Linked DNA regions of Ovis aries. The protein of the gene in region 1 binds, or shares a complex with, the protein of each later gene. Links are inferred from orthologs where the notes say so. Each region holds a gene or a part of one and is shown in the gene's direction. Other genes may lie near its edges.

Evidence for each region.
Region 2: ABI1 (region 1) and NCKAP1 share a complex: the UniProt entries of both Homo sapiens proteins name them as parts of the WAVE2 complex. The link is inferred for Ovis aries from reciprocal best matches to the Homo sapiens genes ABI1 and NCKAP1.
Region 3: ABI1 (region 1) and WASF2 share a complex: the UniProt entries of both Homo sapiens proteins name them as parts of the WAVE2 complex. The link is inferred for Ovis aries from reciprocal best matches to the Homo sapiens genes ABI1 and WASF2.

Annotation. Positions count from the first base shown.
Region 1 is NC_056066.1:17,244,753-17,248,185, forward strand, and holds part of ABI1 (abl interactor 1), read left to right. Parts: intron 1-3,093; coding exon 3,094-3,269; 3' UTR 3,270-3,433. UniProt on the Homo sapiens protein: May act in negative regulation of cell growth and transformation by interacting with nonreceptor tyrosine kinases ABL1 and/or ABL2. May play a role in regulation of EGF-induced Erk pathway activation. Involved in cytoskeletal reorganization and EGFR signaling.
Region 2 is NC_056055.1:126,755,727-126,759,378, forward strand, and holds part of NCKAP1 (nck-associated protein 1), read left to right. Parts: intron 1-939; coding exon 940-1,032; intron 1,033-1,189; coding exon 1,190-1,246; intron 1,247-1,939; coding exon 1,940-2,082; intron 2,083-2,163; coding exon 2,164-2,254; intron 2,255-3,652. UniProt on the Homo sapiens protein: Part of the WAVE complex that regulates lamellipodia formation. The WAVE complex regulates actin filament reorganization via its interaction with the Arp2/3 complex. Actin remodeling activity is regulated by RAC1.
Region 3 is NC_056055.1:239,513,539-239,517,927, forward strand, and holds the start of WASF2 (actin-binding protein WASF2), read left to right. Parts: upstream 1-1,586; 5' UTR 1,587-1,642; intron 1,643-2,860; exon of another isoform or gene 2,861-4,389. UniProt on the Homo sapiens protein: Downstream effector molecule involved in the transmission of signals from tyrosine kinase receptors and small GTPases to the actin cytoskeleton. Promotes formation of actin filaments. Part of the WAVE complex that regulates lamellipodia formation.

The DNA of each region.
Region 1 (3,433 bases):
ATCTACTTCTATGCTAATAAAATGTCTTTGTAGAGTTCTGAAAAATACCTGCTATGTAGTTGATTACATTTGATTGCCTTTGAAATGGACTCACTTCTGTTGGCTTCATTGGATTAACTGACCTTAAGCAAATACCTGTAGCATTCTTTCCTACCCAAGTTTTAAATATACGGTTGAAGTAAATAGGCTGTTTTCTATTTTTAAACAGTAAATATTCTACATATTACTGAGGAAGTCTTGAATGTTCTACTTCATATTTAGATTCTCATGTACCTTCAAATAGACATATGCTGTGGTTATTATGAGAATGATAAACGTGAGCAGTCTTGAATTGTGTTTTGACACATATTTTCTAGTATGGAAAAGCAAATTTAAATAACTATGAAAATGGGACAAGTTATATTTACATAACAGATTTGGAATGATATAATGGTTAATATATTTGGTAATAGAGCAGGATTAAAGAAATCTCTTTACAAGTTGAATGAAATAATGAGTCTTAAACCAGAAGTAGTTACCACATTTTTTGGAAAAGACCAAATAATAAACTTTTTAAGTAATCAAGGTATATTGACATATTAGTTTCAGGTGTACAACATAATTCTTTGGTATTTGTATATATTGGCAAAATGAAATATCTTTACTTTGCTGGTCATTCAGACTTGTCGCAACTACTCAACCCCACTGTTGTAGCACAAAAGCAGTCGTTGAGAATCCCCTGGTGGTCCAGTGGTTAGGACTTCACGCTTCCAGGCTGAGGGCCTGGGTTCAATCCCTGGTTGGGGAACTGAGATCCCAAAAGCCATGCAACACAACCAAAGGGGGGAAAACAAAACAAGCAGTTATAGACAGAACACAAGTGAGGATGTGGCTGTGCCCCAGTAAAATTTATTGACCGAAAGGCTTTGGTTTGAATTTGGTCATGGGCCATTGTTTATGGACTCCTGGTCTTAATCAGAAAGTTGATATTTAGTAGGGTTATATTTAAAGTCTTTAATAGTCACCTTTATAAGTCACAAGATGATTAAAACCAGGTTTAACAGGATTTCAATTGACTATGTTAGTCCAATAGTATGACATGACTATTGCAGAAGCCAGATTCAGTCACTTACATTAGACTAATAGTATGTTTACTTTTGAGGACAATATTCAGGAGGCTGAAATATTTAAGACAGTGTATCTATAACAAGTTACAAGCATTGTTTCTAAGTTGAGGAAAAAGAAGATTTCCGAGGGACTAGATAGCTATCTTCAAATTTTTATCATGTAGACAGATGTAGGGGTTTCCCTGGTGCCTCACATCTGCCTGCAATGCAGGGGACACGTTTGATCCCTGGGTCTGGAGGTGGCATGGCAACCCACTCCAGTATTTTTGCCTGGGAAATCCCATGGACAGAGGAGCCTGGCAGGCTGCAAAGTGTTCATAGGGTCACAGAGAGTTGGACACGACTGAAGTGACTTAGCACACATGCATTCATGACAGATGTAGATGAGAATATTAGGTTTTTAGTCCCACAGAACCCTACAGTGAGTATATAGAGAAGGGAGAGCTCAGCACTTTATGTGGACTAGGATCCTACAGACTAGGATGGATGTGCATTGTTAATGGTTAAATACTCGGCAGTGAGAACTGTTATATGAGAATATATGCATTGGGGAAGGGGAGGTGAGGGGTGACTAAGTTTCATTTACAGAGGGGATTTGGCAAATAGAAACAATTAGTTGGGTGCAGTGTTTTTATCAGCTCTTAGTATAAGTGGAACTAAGAACATGAGGAAATACTATTTTAATTTTGCTGAATGACTTTGAGGATATCAGGCATTGTCATGATCAGTTTAAAACTCACCTATACCACTAAAAATGTGACAGAATGCAAAAGAAAATGTTCCTAGCAGTCATTTGGTTTTCTTGGGTGGTTATTTAGCCAAAAATACCAGGATAATTAATGTTATTTATTCTGTATGTTTTGGAGTTTTGAAACTGGGCATGTTAAGTGAGCCTGTGATTACAACACTGTGATTTCACTGCAGGATTAAAATGGAGGAAAATGTACTTGTTGAGTTTACTTCATATACTGTTTTGTAAAGGGGAAAAAAAAAGATTGCCTGTTTTACTCTATCAAATGATGCTGTGGATCAGTACTTCGGGTCTTTTCCTTATTGTATTTTATTGATTCAGAATAGTTATGGAGCATAGCCACCTTTCTTAAGGAACTAATGAGTTCCAGAATATCTTAAATGTCTTAAAAATCCTCTTTTTAAGAAAAAGATTACATGAGGTAATGAAAAAAATTTTGTATGACATACTGTTTCACATATATTGGAAAATTGCATATTCTAGAATGATCATGTTATAAAGCCAGAAAGAAGGAAGACTTAAAATAATAAACCAGTGGTTTGGAAAGCTAGTGATTTTTTGATGCCTTTCCTTTGCACAACACCATTTGCAAAGGAAATGGATATTTTGTACTCAGCATGATCATAGATAACTCAATAAATAGCAAAAATGTTCTCTTAAGTCTTATGTGAGTCTTTACTTACCTATTTCTCCTTTAAAAATAAAGAAAAATTCTTGCTGACCTCTAAGGTGTATATATATATATATCTAGGTATAGCCCCATAAATTATATGAACATATGAGTATTTTTCTGGGATGAGTAGGACGAGATTCACTTCACAATATATATATATATATTTAAATTAGATAGCTTGGGTTGTTACGTTTACTGATTGGCTCTGCAGCTTTACTCAATAGTTACTTTGATAAATGGTGCTTTGCATATGGTTGGCACTTAGTAGATATTTGAACAAATGAACTGAAACATGTAATAAACCCTAAAATTCAGAGACCTTTCCTAAATAGGTTTGTAGAAACTCTTGACTTCTCAAGTTATTTGTCGGTTTGGCCTGAAGGTCAAGCTAGTAATTTAGGCACACAGTTGGCTACTTGACCTACCTGGATATAGAGATTTAAGAATTAAGAGTATTCATAAAAAGGTTGGGTTTGCTATACTATTCGTTGGCATTACATTTAAAAATTCAATTAAACGTAGGATATAATGCACTCACACGATCTTCCAATTCTTCTCCACAGTTGTGGCAATATACGATTATACAAAAGACAAGGATGATGAGCTGTCATTTATGGAGGGTGCAATCATCTATGTAATAAAGAAAAACGACGATGGCTGGTATGAAGGAGTCTGCAATCGAGTGACTGGTCTGTTCCCAGGAAACTATGTGGAATCAATCATGCACTATACTGATTAAATTTTTGCTTTTAAAGTAGATTCTTATTATCACTCAGTCATACTGTGGGACTATTATGGTTAACAGAATTGTCTTAAAATGTTTTAAAATGTGCCCATATTTTCAGAACATGCTGTTTTATTGGTATAATTGAATGTCTACTTATAAGCATAAATCTCTGAGGC
Region 2 (3,652 bases), on another chromosome or scaffold:
GTCCCAGGTAAATTACATTAAACATGCATTCAGATCACCTGGGTATATTGTTAAATGGCAGATTCTGATTTGGGGTGAGCCTGAGATCCTTCTCTTGTAACAAGTTTCTAAATGATGTGGACATTTCTATTCTGTAGGCTACATTCAGAATATCAGATAGTTCTAGATGATTTTGTTGACTTTGGCAGATTTATGGTTTACTGCTGCATGTCCGATATGGCTGAGTTCTATCAGAAGTTTTATTAATAGTTGTTTTAAAAGAGAACTTAGGACTTCTGTAAATTTAATAATACAGTTGACTGAAATAATGTTTGTCTTTTGTATTCACATTTCCCTTTTCATATGTTTATGCGTCTTAACTCTAGTTTTGCTTCTTTCTCATTTCTTTTTTTGTTGTGATTTTTGCTTTTCTTTAATGTATTACTGTGTTTTGTGGATCTGGTCAGGGAACCGTTACTGTATTTTATGTTTGTATCTACATTTTATTTTGCATGCGTAACGTGGCTTTGCCTGGATGTTCTTTTTGGTAAGTTCCAAATTTATAAAGCATATTGTTTCTGTAGTGTAAGTTATAATATTTTTCACCTTCTTTTCTCCCACTTTTAGTAATGTGATCATGCTCATGAGTTGCTTTTAGTTTTCTTTTAAGAGTTCATTTGATAGTTATTTTTTTCCTAACACTTCCAGTTTTCCTTAATAGTAGTGCAGTTTGGTACTAATCCGCTTTGATTCGTTTTATAGCCTCACACTGTAAGTTGCTGGTCACTATTTAGAAGTTGCTGTTTCAAGTATTTTGGTTTTTTAAAAGAGCCGTAATCATCTAGAAATATTATTCTAAAAGCTTGTGCTTTCATATAGCAATCATAAAAGAAGATAGTTTGTATTAAACATAATAATTTTGTTCACAGTAAACAGTGCATTCTAATTTTGTTTTCACAGCAACAGCTTGCACAACTGCAGAAAGAAAAATCAGAGATTCTGAAAAATCTGGCATTATATTACTTCACATTTGTAGATGTTATGGAATTTAAGGTATGTATTTTAATACATACAGTTTAACATTTCAGAGATAAATTGATATTTGTTAATTGTATAAATTGTTCTGTCACTTGTGGATAATAAAGTATGTGTTTTCTGAATTTAGTAGTAGTCATATAAGTAAAAGATTAAAATAAACTTTTGTTTTCAGGACCATGTTTGTGAATTGCTGAATACTATTGATGTTTGCCAAGTCTTCTTTGACATTGTACGTATAATTTTCAGAAAATTTTCTAATTCTTCTCTCTGTTTCTAGTAGTAGAACTAAGGGGATCAAATGCTTTTCTTTAGAGATAATTTATATGATTAGTATATAAAATTTCAGCATTGAATTTGACTTTTTTTTTAAGGCTCTTTTTTTTTACTTATTGATTGCCATTGAATATAAATCTTGTACATATTGGGAAATAGTTGTTAATTTTAGTATTTTATTTTAATAGGCTCAATTTTAAAAGGTTACACAAATAATTTTTTCTCTATAAAAGGCATATTTGATAAAATCTTTCTTAATAAGACAATTTCTAGATATAAGAAATGAGTGAAAAACATCTCCACTGAGTTAACAGTGAACCTATTCATTAATTTAATACTCCTTTTTTCTTGCGTAGTGAGAATTGCTTCCATGCTTATTATTATTCTGATTTTGGCTATTCTTTTAAATTGTTAGCAGGTTGAATAGGGTGATCACAAACTCTTTCACCTGTAAAATTACACTATTATTTGTAACTCCCAAATTTTAGACATGTTTTTGGTGAAAGGAATTAGGTAGAATTTCAGAAATGGGGATAAAATAAATAAATACAGAAACTTATTAGCTTCCAGTAGCTGCCATGAAGATTCTTTTGTGTGTGCTTAAAAGTTTGTGAAATAAAAAGTTGAACTTAATGTTTTTTTTTCTTAGACTGTAAATTTTGATTTAACAAAGAACTACTTAGATTTGATCATAACATATACAACACTAATGATACTGCTGTCTCGAATTGAAGAAAGGAAGGCAATCATTGGATTATACAACTATGCTCATGAGATGACGCATGGGGCAAGGTATACCGCATTAAAGAAACCTGTGTGAAATTCTCAGTTTGATGGCTTACAATTCAGTGATATTTATGTGTCTGTTTTAAGTGACCGAGAATACCCACGCCTTGGTCAGATGATTGTGGATTATGAAAACCCTTTAAAGAAAATGATGGAAGAATTTGTGCCTCATAGCAAGGTAAGAGCTGGGTTTCAGGGGTGCTTCAGTAGGCATATGAGAGCTTGAGGGTGGATAGGGTGATAAACTGCTTCTAAGAAAGAAAATCTTAATGAGATATGATTTATGGTTATATATGGTTTTATCTAATTGTGAACCAGAGAACTCCTTAATTATATCCAGAATTGTTAATGGAAACTCTGGAATATGTTGATCCATTGTAGTTTTTAGGTTCTCTATAGGATATAGTTAGTGAAGTTTAGTATTTGAGAATGTCTACTAGATTCATATCAGACTGCTTTGTTCTAATCCCACTTCCGACAGTTACTGTGTATTATTGGGCAGGTTACTTAACCGACTTCACTGTATCTCAGTTTTCTTACCTGTAAAAATGCAGTAATAGTAGTCCTACTCTATAGGGCTATTATGAGTATTAAATGAGTTATTTTGTGAAAAGTGTTTCCACACATAGTATTTGATAAATCTTAGTTAAATGTTATTAGAGTATAGCCTCGTAATGAGAAAAAATTGCAGGAGTTTGTGATAATTTGAAATGTCTGTCATTTATGATATATTAAAAAATAGTTCTTAATGAAATAATTTTGGTTTAGAGTCTTGCCATTATGGCTTCTCTGAGGGAGGGCTAGTTCCTTAGCATGTCAAGGAAGCTTATAGGTATCCTCATAAAGATAGGGAAATTGAGGACTGGAAGTGGTATGATGAAGTAAGCCATTTGGCAGCAGTTGTGGCAAAATGAAGGCTAGGATATTAGAATCTTGTTCCATTGTTCCCTTTGAATGATGGGAGTTAGGTTTTTAATAATGCAGTGTTTTATATGAATCTGTGCTTTATTTTTTTGACATACAGTTAGCAGCAAGAATTTTCCTTCAGTTTTCTTACTGAAGATTCTAAAGATGCATTTCCAGTTTAATTTCTCTGCGGATCTATATTATACCCACAAATTCATGTAGATTTAATGTCTTAGCGTTAGTTGTAGCATTAGCTTGAAAGAGTCTAGTCAGTTCAGTCGCTCAGCTGTGTCCAACTCTTTGCGACCCCATGAATCGCAGCACGCCAAGCCTCCCTGTCCATCACCAACTCCCGGAGTTCACTCAGACTCACGTCCATCGAGCCAGTGATGCCATCCAGCCATCTCATCCTCTGTCGTCCCCTTCTCCTCCTGCCCCCAATCCCTCCCAGCACCAGAGTCTTTTCCAGTGAGTCAGCTCTTTGCATGAGGTGTAGATGATACCAATTTTGAAGTAAAAATCAGCATTGTAGATGGAAGTGTCAGGGTTTCTCAAAGTGCTAAACAGATCATCACCACCTATCTCTTTGATTTTGTTAGTGCTTTTACCTCAGCTACTCATCTCTTGTTTTTCCTCTGAATCTGTTTCTAACTTTTTGCCAATCAGATAT
Region 3 (4,389 bases), on another chromosome or scaffold:
TTTCTCACGCATCTACAAGATTCCAGGCACTGTCCCAGGCACCTGGGGCTACAACAGGTGGGGTTCCTGCCTTTGTGTGTATGGTCTGATGGAATTGACAAATTTGTTCTTAGGTCTTTCCCTGTGGGTGACGGGTTGGGAACCCCTCAGGGGTTGCTGAAGGGCGAATGGCAGGCTGGGGGAACTTAAGAAGGTGACACTTGCTGTATGCATGGTGGATCTTCTGGCCCTGTGTATAGATGTGTAGAGAGAGGGAGACTGAGGGCATGTTTCCGGGTGTAAATGAGTGTGGCTGGCTGTGTGGCATGTGTATAAATGTGTACATGATCTGGGCCAGTGAAAATGTGGACAGCAGTGTGTGTGTGAGGGGGGAGGTGTGTGTGTGCCTGTGCCCTTGTGTATCTGTTTCAGCGTGTGGCTGTGTCTGCCCTCTTTGTGCCTGTGCGCCTGTATGTTCCCTAAGGGTGTGTGTGTGTGTGTTTGTGTCCGTGTGTATGCCCATGGCCCTGGGAGGGCCAAGTGCAATTGTAGGCACCGGCCAAGAATAGCACACAGATGGTAGCACATGCACACTGGAGCACTCGCTTGCATGTGCACATGCACACACGCACACACACACACACACAGCCAGCTGCTGCAAGGAGGAGGCTGGCTTCCAGTCCTAGGGCACAAACTCCCAGGGCCAAGAGAATTCTGCTTTGGGTGTGTGGAGGAGGCACAGCTGGGGCTGGAAACGCTAGAGTGGGAGGAAGGGAGGGAGAGAGGGAGGGAGGCTGGGGAGCCACATCCTTGATCTCTGGTCTGTTTCAGCAGTTCCGGACTTGGTGCTCTGGGTCTCTGTGTGACTCTGGGTCTCTCTCTTGGATCTCTGTTTCTCTCTTCTGGGTTTTGGGCTCTGAGGCTGATCACATGGCTCTAGGTCACCACCTCTGCAGCCTGCTTGGCTCTCTGTGTCCTCTTCCAAGTCTCTCTGTCTCTATGTCTGCCTCTGTCTCCGTGTCCTTCCTTGTCCTTGCCAGGTGGGAGGAGGGGGCCCAGTGCTCAGGGAGCAGGTGTTGGCTCATTCAGGCAGCAGGGAGTGAAGTTGAGAAGGGCACAGAGCCAGGAGCTCCTGGACACACAGTCACACTCCAGGACACAAACTCAGGGCACTTACAGGAACACACAATGACATACATGGAGAAGTAGGTTCTGGAGGACATACACACAGGTACACAGTTCAACACGCAGCTGCTCCCCACCACACACAAGGATGCTAAACACCGAGAGTCACGTGCAAAGAAATCACACGTACACACGTACTCATCTAGGCACACCCGGATATACAGTCACAGGCACATGGCATTCTTCCAGAGGAAAACCCAGGGCCATGGGCATACACATGGACATACACACACACACACACACACACCCCTTAAGGAACATACAGGCATACAGACACAACCACACGCTGAAACACAGATACACAAAGGCACAGGCACACACTCAGTTACGCTGGGGCAGTCACACTCAGAGCCACAGACAATCAGGAGCAAGAAGGCAAATGAGCACAGACAGGCAGATAACCCTCAAGGACAACCAGACACAGAGGCACAACAGGCGCGCTGAGGGACACACCCAGGCACAAGCAGATCATCCTCAGGTACACTCCCCCCCCACTCCGGGCTCACTCTGGAGCACCTGGGGACACGCCCACAGGCGGCGGGCGCGGGGACCCGGCGGCCCAGCGCACCTGGCGCCCACGGCTCGCCCCCGGGAGCCCCCAGGCGCCCTGAGTGTGCGTGCCCGCGCGAGCGTGCCCGGCCCGCGCGCGCGGCCACCTGTGGGAGGAGAGGTGCGCGCTGCGCCCGGGGCGGCCTGGCCGGCGCGGCGCGGGGGGAGCGGTTGCCATGGCGCACAGAGCGCGACCGCATACTAATGGGGCGGCCACGGGCGCTGCCCCCTGCCCGGCGGCCCGCTCCCTCCGCCCACTCCTTCCTCCGGCTCAGCCAGAGTCGCCCCTGCCCCGCGGCTAGGCCGGCGCACCCCAATCCGAGAGCCAACGCACCCGCCGGCCTGGGGCCTGGGGCGGTCGGGAGGCCCGGGGATGGGAGAGGGGCGCTGCGGGACCCCCAGAGGAGGCCCCGGCCGGGTGAAAGGCGGCGCGCGGGGCGAGGGCCTGGGGCGCTGAGGGGGCTGCCTGGCCTGGGCACGGGCACCAAACGGGCATTGGCAGCTGGGAGCGCAGGTGCTGTCTTGGAAACGGGGGTGGGGGGGGTAGCTAGGAGGGGGTGGCTATCCTGGGAGAGGGGGGAAATAAAGGGAGAATTTAACCCTTTCGTTGCCAGAGGGTCCTCCAGCCAGTCTTCCCCAGGCTTGACGGGGAGGGGGAGGGGACTTGGCCAATCGCTAATATGGTCTGCACCCCTCACTTTCCATCTGCTTCCAGCATCTCTCCAGTTCTGGCAGGGGGCATCAGTTACCTTCCCTCCAGTCCTGCCCCTGTCTGACGGGTGAGGAGGGAGGGAGCGTGGAGGAGTGTGCTGAGGACTGGGGGCCAGAGGACGGCGGCACCAGAAGGGTTACACCTCCCCACACCTTAATCCCAGTCCCAGAGCCCCCCTTTCACGCAGCCTTGACCCCCTACCCTCTCAACCCTGCTGTTTTAATTGGCATGGAGGGGGCGTGGCCGTATCCCGGGGTGGGGGGAGCCGGCAGAGGGTTTGCAGGTAGAGGCAGTGGGAGGTGGGGGCTTAATAGAGGGGGGGAGCCAGGCGGTTGCCTAGCAACCCCACAGCTGTCTGTTGACCTAGAAGAAGCTGCGCTGTCTTGACACAGCTGGTGTTTACATGTAACCGAGGCTCTGGCTTACTGCTTGCTCGGAGGAAAGCTGAGGCAGTGCCCTGGTGGCAGCCTGGCCTCGGCTCCCGGCTGTGGTGGGCTCCGTGCCTGGTTCCTGCCTGCCCTCCTTACTTCAGCTCCCACCTCAAGTCCAACGGGAGAGAGAGTGGGAGGGCAGATCTCAGAGCTGGAGGCACTGGGGCTGGGGACAACTGATAGACACACACACACACATACACATGGCACAAAACCCGAGGCCTTCAACACAGAAACGGTGGAAGACTGAAAAAGGACTGAGGGACAGAGGTGCTCAGTTTGTGCACAGATTTCAACCCCCACAGACAACTCCATCATTTGCAGGAACGCATGAACACACAGACCCACAAAATCAAGCTGACAGCAGGCACACACACCGGCACAGAGGTGCCTGTTGACAAAGTGACTGACGTCCAGGCAGACACACGGAAACAGAGTCATCAGATGGCGGACATCCCAACATGCAGACACACTCGCGGATCTCTTGGTACAGAGGACAAACAGACACCGACCATCTGATCGAGACACACACTCCAGCACACTGCCACACCGAATTCTCCATGTGGTAACACCGGCAGCCATCACACCACCACAGTCCATTCCAGCCTAGGGTTTGCAGGTCTGCATTATGAAAGAAACCCAGCCTCACATACAGAGGAACATTCACACAGGGGAACACCCAACTCCCCAAACTTTCATTGATTGCCCACAAGGTTTAAGGCAGGCAGCTGCTGACAGCACGGACATAAGTGAAGACACACCCAGGAGCCTGACATGTGACGGGACACAGGTCCCTGAAGCACCACGGGCCCTGACATGTCCCGCCCGCACCCACACAAACACATGCCGGCCTAGGGTGTGAGCCGAGCTGAGACTCCTCCCTGCCCACAAGCCCTGAGTAGCAGCAGATGTGCCTTGGGGTCAGAGGGCCCTAGTGGCTCCAGGACCAGCTCCAGATGAACCCATACCGCCTGGGCTGTACCCTTGACCCTCAGCACTAGAGAGGAAACAGCATCAGCTTCCCTGGGAGCCCCCTACCCAGGCTGAGGAGGAAAGATATAGCCCATCCCCAGAACCCCTGGTTGGAAGCCCTGTCCTCCCAAGTCCCCGCCTGGACTGATAGAGGAGACATGGTCCTGCCCACAGCAGCCCTGATCTGATGGAGGCTGTATCTCCCTCCCAGGCAGCTCTGGACGCTACAGACACAGACACACACACACCCTAGCATGTGGCAGCTCCCAGGAGGTTCTGGAGGGCTTCCTGACAGAGGTGACCCTGGGGCCTGGTTTGGGAGTCCAAGAGGGAAGAAGGAGGGGGTGTGCTGAGGAGGGCCTCCTTATCTCACCCCACACCCGCCCCTTGCCCAGCGGTTCCTCCTCCCCCCAGGGCCCAAGGGGCCTGCTGGGGCCCCACAGCCCCATCAGCCCAAGCAGTGAGCAGGAGGAGGAGAATGGATATTTTTAGCTTCTCTGCCACTGACATTTCGCAGCAGGCGACCTGGGGTGAAGCTGAGTGAGTGCTGAAGGCTGGGAG